Oryctolagus cuniculus: one gene and its partner. The protein of the gene in region 2 interacts with the protein of the main gene of each other region in a pairwise test. Links are inferred from orthologs where the notes say so. Each region holds a gene or a part of one and is shown on either strand. Other genes may lie near its edges.

Region 1 (3,909 bases), on a different chromosome or scaffold from region 2:
TGGCGGGGCGGCCATTGGGTAGAGGATCAAAGAGAACCCCAGAGGGTTTGGGGAGGACACAGCCGCCGCTGAAACGACAGAGGGAAGGAATAGAGGCACAACTTCACAAGAAAATTACCAACACTAAGAAAACTGGCCAAGTGTAGCAACATGGTGCCCCGTTCATCTAACAACCTAGAAAAGCCAGAATGGGAATGGCTCAAGGGCCTGGGCTCCTGCCGCCCACGTGGGAGAGCCAGATGGAACTCCAGGCTCCTGGCTTCAGCCTGGCCCAGCCAGGACCGTTGCGGCTACTTGAAGAGCAAACTAGCAGATGGAAGATTCATTCTCTCTCTCTCTCTCTCTAACTCTGCCTTTCAAATAAATCTTTTCTAAAAAAATCACTTAAAAACTATGAAAAATCAGTATTTGGGTGTTTTCAATACAAAATGCACCAATACAAATGCACCAAAAACCTGTGTCTGGGTCTCTGTATCCCACATAGGCCGGGATAGGTAGGAAGGCTGGCCGGCAGAGTCCGAGAGAGCAGACTCCGTGACTCCAACAGTGTGGTCGGTCCACAGACGCCCCTTTTATCTCTTCTTCCTCTGTCTCTGTCCATTTTCCTTTGTCCTGCTCTTCCCTCTGTCCGCTGGCACTGCTTAGCCCTGGGAACTGACAGAGCGGCAGACACCAGGCACAAGGCACAAACCTCCTTGACAGTGCCAGGAAGTTTGCCTCCGAGTTAGCAGCTGGTGTCAGAGCGCGGCGGTAAGTGCCACATGTTGATCACCTAATACTCGAATTGCTGCACACATACATATATCTACTGAAGAGCCAAAGTGGCTCCATTTAAAAACGTAAATAAAAAGCAGCCTCTGTTTCCCGTAGCAGACCCGAGTCCTTTGTAAAAGCAGGCATTCAGGCATTCTGGAGACATCAAAGCTTACCAAGGACAGCTCAGCAGACCAAGGGCAGCTCAGTAGAGAGTGCCAAATGAGGTAACTCCCTGCACCCAAGCCAAACAGAGACACGCCCCTCCGACTAAGAGCAACCGGGAACTGCCCTGCCCAATCACAAAAGGCCCGGCACCCTGACGTATCTTCCCTTTAAAAGCGTCCCGAACAAAGACCTGGGCCTTCCTCTGACCTCCGCTGGTCAGATAAGGCCCCTGCCGGGCTTGTACTTTTAAAATAAACCTTGCTTTTGCAGGTCGGTGTGATGGGGTCGCTGATAGCTTCTTGGGGATCTACTTATCTGAGCACAACATCTATGATCTACTTCAATCCTCACTATACTCTTGCAAAACCGATTCCGAGGGGCTGAGAAAAAAATGGCCAAAGGCGGTGTATGGCCGCTAGAATTTCCTACGGGAACGACAGATGGCACCGTTTGGGGGTTTACCCGTGCCAGACTTTGGCGGGCTTAACATGAATCAACTCACTTAATTCTCACCGCGACGCTATAAACTAGGTGCTATTAACCCCATCTTACGGCCGGGGAAACTGAGGCCCGCGAATCCCACAGCTCCTAAGAGGGAGGAACAAAGGCAGGCGATCCAATTCCACAGCCAATGCCCTAACCACCATATCATAACGGATTTCAACCCATTTCTTGTTAACCGCAAAGACTCGCGCACTTGGTGCTACCCCATGGTGCGACCGGAGACTGAGGCGAGAGACGGCGGCGCGGTTCCCCTGGCAACGCCGCGGCGCTCCGCGGCGAGCTTCCGGGCCGGCGAGCGGCGCGCTCCAGTGACGTCACAGAGCCACTTTCCGGCCGGTGGCAGAGTCGGGCAGAAGTTGTGGTGGCCGGGGGCGCCATGGGGGCCACTGGCGACGCCGAGCAGCCGCGGGGACCCAGCGGGACAGAGCGGGGCGGCCCGGAGCCGGGGGATGCGAGCGCAGCTGGGCAGCTGGTTCTCACGGTGAGGACGCCCCCGCTGAGGCCTGAGCTCGGGCCGGCGGGGGCCTCGGGCTCCCGGGACCCTGGCCCGCGGGCGAGAGAACGCGGCGGCTGGTGCTGCCCGAGGGGGTTGGCGTTTTCGCAGTCCCACGACCTGGGTTCAAATTCTGGTGCCGCCCTCCCGGCGAGGTGACGTGGGCCGGTCCTGGCACCCCCCTCTAGGCTGCTCTAACATAAAATGGAGAGGAATGGTGCCTGTCCCTTCGAAGTTGTCGGGGTGGGGTGACAGATGCAGGTAAAGCTCCCGGCACCCGAGTTGCCTTGAGCCGTTCCAGGAAAGGCGGACCTGGGACGTTTGGGACAGGAAACTTCCTCAGGCCCTCTTCCCGGGCAGGGCCTGTCCACCCGGTGGGAGACTTGGAGAGAGCAGCCGAGGTGCAGCGGGGTCCAGGCTAATCCTCGCACGCACCTCCCCCTCCACGCCGCGTCAGTGTCACCGGCTTCAGTGACGTTTGCTCCCTCGCTTGGTCCCCGCAGAACCCTTGGAACATTATGATAAAGCACCGTCAAGTGCAGCGAAGGGGCCGCCGCTCTCAGATGACAACAAGGTAAGGCCGGCCCTGGCTGGAACCGGTCCCAGGGCTGGCTTGGACCGATGCTGTGGGACCCCCACCGCACAAGCCTGAGAAGAGATCTGCAGTCGGGGGAAGGAGGCGCTGTGGGCGCTGTGGCCGTGACCTTGAGCTGAACTCTTCTGCAAAGTGGGGGGGTGGGGGGAACGGCACCCGAAATCCCTAACATTCCCTGGCTCCGGGGTGGAGGGCGCCAAAGAGGTCGCAGAGCCTCGAGGTTGGCATCCCAGGCCCCGAGTCGGACAACCCGACCTGTATTAGCTGGGTGACTTGGACAGGCCGCCTTGCCTCCCTGAGCCTGTTTGTTCAGCGGTCCCAGGGAGCTAGGAGCAGTGTCTGTGTCAGGGAAGGGAGATGGTGCCGCCCCCTGAGCCCCCTGACCGCCTCCCTCCCTCCCTCCCGGCAGTTTCACAGACCCGGCCATCTCCATGGATCTCCTCCGGGCTGTCTTGCAGCCGAGCATCAATGAGGAGATCCAGACGGTCTTCAACAAGTACATGAAGGTGAGGAGACAGGAGGGTGCGAAACTGACAGGGAGAGTCCTGGGCAGCCTCGCCCTTCCCTGCCGCACTGGTGTCTCTCTGTCTCTGTGTCTCTCTCTATGTCTCCCTCGCCCTCACCCTGTGCCCCTAGAATGCTTTTTTTGCCTTTTTTTTTTTTTTTTTTTTTTTGCTTAAGTGTAATATGCTTAGCACCATGTTTGGAAAATAACCACTGTTTTTATTACTTGATATTAACATCGTTATCATTTAAAATTATTTCCTTGGCCACTACATAGCTCTGCCTGAGTGTCCCATGGGTGCTTCAAACTTAGCACATTCAGAACTAAACTCTTTCTTTCGAAGCCTCCTCTTCTGTGTAGTCATGTATTCAAGAAGCATTTACCGAGCGGCCGCCGTGCTGCACGTGCCGTCCTCGGCATTAGCACTGTAGCTGTAAGAAAGCAGACACTGTGCTCGCCCTTTGTAAACAAGTGTGTGTGTGTGACACGAGGGAATGAGAGAAGAGGGGTTGGGAAGGCCCTCCGAGAGGGGGCTTTGTGTGAAGACCCAGAGAGCGTGAGGGAAGAGCAAGCCTGGCAAATGTGTGGGAGGTAAGAGTCCGGCCACAGGGAGGAAGGAACTGGCCGGTGTGACTGCAGCCCGCTGTGCAAGGAGAGTGACTGGTGACCAGAGAGGCGCCCCTCCTGCTGGGAAATCCAGATCCCTTCCCTTGGCGTATGTGGCCACTGTGATGAAATAGCCACCTTTCCCCACGTGGGTCCCCATGCCCTGGGCATGTCCCACACCCCCACACCTTTACAGACCTAGAAATGTAAAAGGGAAGCCACGAGAGAAGGGTAGGCCATACTTCACTGCAGGCCGCTTCCCTGTGGTGGATTTGCTGATTCAGT
Region 2 (3,909 bases):
TTTGCACGGCTCAGACATTAGCAGGGCTGACCAGAGGCACGCTCGCCCTACAGCTGGAGGCCCTGCAGGTGCAGCGTCCTCCCTGTCACAGACCTTCACCACTGGAGGAGCTGCAGCAACACGCCAACATCGTCACAGGTTTTTCTAAAACTTGGGGAAAAAAAAAACACCCCAAACTGGAATTGACTGGTATCTCCTTCTTGACTTGACCTCTGTCACATGTCCCTTTCTCAGGTGTCCACAGAGAGGTGATGGGCACTTGGAGACTGGCTGAGGGAGCTGAGGAGGGATCACGTGTACTGTGGGGTTAGTAGGTATACTTGATGGGTTTTGCAGTTACTTCTGTGAATAGAATCAATTATCCCCAGGTGGATACAGTGTTATGGATTAAACTGTGTCCTCCCAAACTTAGGGTTAATGTCCTGTCCCCCAGTACCTCAGAACGTAGCTTCGTGTGGAGTTAGGTTGTTTCTCGAGGTGATTAAGTTCAGCTGAGATGGATGAATTAGGGTGGGTCCTAACACAGTGTGACTGCTGACCTTCCACGAGGAAATCTGGGCACAGACTTGTGATGCACAGGCAGAGGGAAGACCATGAGCAGACAGCCTTCTACAATCAAGGACAGAAGCCTCAGGATGCAGTCAGCTCAGCCAGTGCCCTTGTCTTGGACCTCTAGTCTCCAGGACTGAGAAAACAAATTTAGCACACACCCAGTCTCTGCTATTTTTGTATGGCAGCCCTGAAAAATTAAATTACTTATATGTTTTAAAAATGTGTATTTACTGCCATTTTATTTGAAAGTCAGAAAGAGAGATCTTCCCTCTGCTGGAACACTCCTGAAATGCCTCAATAGCCAGCACTGGGCTAGGCCAAAGCCGGGAGCCCAGAACTCAATCTAGGCTGGCAGGCAACCAAGGACTTGAGCCATCACCCGCTGCCTCCTAGTGTGTGCATTAGCAGGAAGCTGGATCAGGGATGGAGGAGCCTAGAGGAGCTGGGACTCCAAACAAGCACTCTGATGCAAGACGGGAGTGTCTCGGCTGCTGACTTAACTTCTGAGCCAAATGCCTGCCTGTATGTTTATTTCCATTTTTTATTTGAAAGGCAGAGATCAAGCTGAGACCAGGAGCACAGAACTCAATCCAGGTTTCCCATGTGGGTGGCAAGGATCCAAGCACCTGAACCACCACTGCTGCTACCCAGAGTGTGCATCAGTGAGAAGTTGTATTGGAAGCAGAGTCAGGACTTGAACCAAGCACTCCCATACAAGTTGCAGGTGCCCCAAGCAGCATCCTAAGCACTGTGCTACAAATGTGCCTGCCCCCAAACTAATATTTATAGTTCCCATTATTCTTTTTTTTTTTTTTTTTTTTTTTGACAGGCAGAGTGGACAGTGAGAGAGAGACAGAGAGAAAGGTCTTCCTTTTGCCGTTGGTTCACCCTCCAGTGGCCGCTGCGGCCGGCGCACCACGCTGATCCAAAGCCAGGAGCCAGGTGCTTCTCCTGGTCTCCCATGGGGTGCAGGGCCCAAGCACTTGGGCCATCCTCCATTGCACTCCCTGGCCACAGCAGAGAGCTGGCCTGGAAGAGGGGCAACCGGGACAGAATCCGGCGCCCTGACCAGGACTAGAACCCAGTGTGCCGGTGCCACAGGCGGAGGATTAGCCTAGTGAGCTGCGGCGCCGGCTAGTTCCCATTATTCTTGATACTATCAATTCAGAATATATGACATTAGCCATTACAAATTCGAAAAGCTCCAAAATTTTATAGTGGTTTTACCAAGTTTGACAAAAATTCTAAACATTTATGAAAGTATCACAAGGCATGGGGGCAAAATTTTTTAAAATTAACAATACAAAAGTGATCATGTTAGAAGACTCATAGAAAACATACAATCATTATACGAAAAGGCTATCAAAGGCTGTTGGCAAAAAAAGTGGAAATATGAATAATTTTAGGCAGATATTTGGCAGCTTTTTAAAAAATTGTAATTTGTCATTCTGAAAATATCATAATTTTGTATTTAATTTTCTTAAAGGGGCTCCAAAAGTTGCATACTTCAGGTACCCAGAAGCCTGGCTCCAGCCTAGGACTACCAGATGGCCATGGTGAGTCTCTGCCTCCTTAGGGGAACTCTGCTCCAGTGCTCGTGCCCTGTCTCCTAGAAAGACCAGAGCCGCAGGCAGTGAGGCGGCCGACTACTCAGACCTGCGAGTACTGAGGCTTGGAGACAGAGTTGGGAGAGCGAAAGTTAACGCGGAAGGAGTTTGTGGCAGGAGGAGCTCAAACCTACCCCAGAAGACGTGAGGAGTCTGTGCAGGGCTTGGGGCTCCGACTCCAGGCAGGAAGCCGTGGAGAGAAGCCCTGGAAAGCCCCGCCTTACCTCTCCGTGGGTGTTTGCTCCTCATGCTGACCCTGCCCTTCAGCACTCTTAGAGCACACTGAAGAGCGGTGGGCTGGGCAGCGATGACGTCACAGGTCGGCCTTTGTGATGTAAGGAGGAGCTATCAGGCATTCCGTGCTTGGGGCTTGCCTCCTAGGAATGCTGTCACCTCATTACTTTGTGGTAATTGGATTCTCTCATCACTCAGGTGATGTGGGAGCCAATCCTGTGAGAACTTGCTCTTTCAAGGACTCCCTCTGTTATCTATTTCTATCCCTCCATTCTGGATTCCACAGAGGTCTTGCCTTCCTTTCCCCTCCGTTAGCTGTCTTACCCTTTGTTTTAGGGTAACCCCTTATTAGGGAAGGGCATTGTTCTTCCCTCCACTACTCAAGAGCAGAAAGTAACGAGATGACCCCCTAAAAGAGGAAGAATCCCCTGTGAAAAGCAGAAACAGTTTTCCCAGACTGTTCCTTTAACAACACCAACAGCTGGTGCTGGGTGCCAGGGAACTGAAGAGCCAGGCCCTGACTATGCTCCCACTACCCAAAAGGGTGGAGGGATCCTGTTGTGGTGTCTTAAACCATGGCTGCCCATCTCTCCCGTGGTCTTCTTCCATGCAACTTCCAAACAGCCAGAGGACTCCAGCAGAAAAGGAATAGGACTTTTTAAGATTTATTTATTTGAAAAGCAGAGTTACACAGAGAAGAGAAAAAAAAGAGAGAGAGATCTTCCATCTGCTGGTTCACTCTCCAAATGGCTTCAATGGCCTGGGCTGGCCCAGACTAGACAGGAATCTGGAACTCCATCCAAGTCTTCCATGGGGGTGGCACAGACCCAAACATTTGGGCCATCTTTGGCTGCTTTCCCAGGTGTATTAGCAGGGACCTGGATTAGAAGTGGAGTAGGCGGGACTCAGACTGGTGCTCATAGGGGATGATGGCATCACAGGCAGTAGATTAACCTGCTGCGATATGCCAGCAGCCCCGGAGCAGGACTTTTAGGAAATGACCAGGCTAGCATTTGTCTTAGTGGTCGACGCTGCTTGGGACGACCACATCCCATACTGGAGTGCTAGGTTCAGGTCCTGGCTTTGCTCCAGATTCCAGCTAATGAGCACTGTGGGAAACAGCAGTGGATGGCTCAAGTAGCTAGGTCCTCACCCTCCATGTGGGAGACCTGGATTAGGTTCTCAGTTCCTGGCTTCAGCCTGGGCCAACCTTGGCTATTGTGGAGATTTGAGGAGTGAACCAATGGACAGGAGCTGTCTCTCAAGGAAGGAAGGAAGGAAGGAAGGAAGGAAGGAAGGAAGGAAGGAAGGAAGGAGAAGGAAGGAAGGAAGGAAGGAAGGAAGGAAGGAAGGAAGGAAGGAAGGAAAGAAAGAAGGAAAGAAGGAAAGAGAGAGAGAGAAAGAAAGAGAAAGAGAAAGAAAGAGAGAGAGAAGGAAAGAGAGAGAGAAGGAAAGAAAGAGAAAGAGAGAAAGAAAGAAGGAAAGAAAGAGAGAGAAAGAGAGAAAGAGAGAGAAA

Evidence for each region.
Region 1: the proteins of HOMEZ (region 2) and DNTTIP1 interact in binary tests that used the Homo sapiens proteins (3 or more experiments, as listed by UniProt). The two-hybrid records come from large-scale screens. The link is inferred for Oryctolagus cuniculus from reciprocal best matches to the Homo sapiens genes HOMEZ and DNTTIP1.

The regions. Positions count from the first base shown.
Region 1 is NC_091442.1:13,602,192-13,606,100, reverse strand, and holds the start of DNTTIP1 (deoxynucleotidyltransferase terminal-interacting protein 1), read left to right. Parts: upstream 1-1,731; 5' UTR 1,732-1,801; coding exon 1,802-1,906; intron 1,907-2,421; coding exon 2,422-2,492; intron 2,493-2,922; coding exon 2,923-3,019; intron 3,020-3,909. UniProt on the Homo sapiens protein: Increases DNTT terminal deoxynucleotidyltransferase activity (in vitro). Also acts as a transcriptional regulator, binding to the consensus sequence 5'-GNTGCATG-3' following an AT-tract.
Region 2 is NC_091443.1:51,744,207-51,748,115, reverse strand, and holds the start of HOMEZ (homeobox and leucine zipper protein Homez), read right to left. Parts: upstream 2,444-3,909; 5' UTR 2,409-2,443; coding exon 2,294-2,408; intron 1-2,293. UniProt on the Homo sapiens protein: May function as a transcriptional regulator.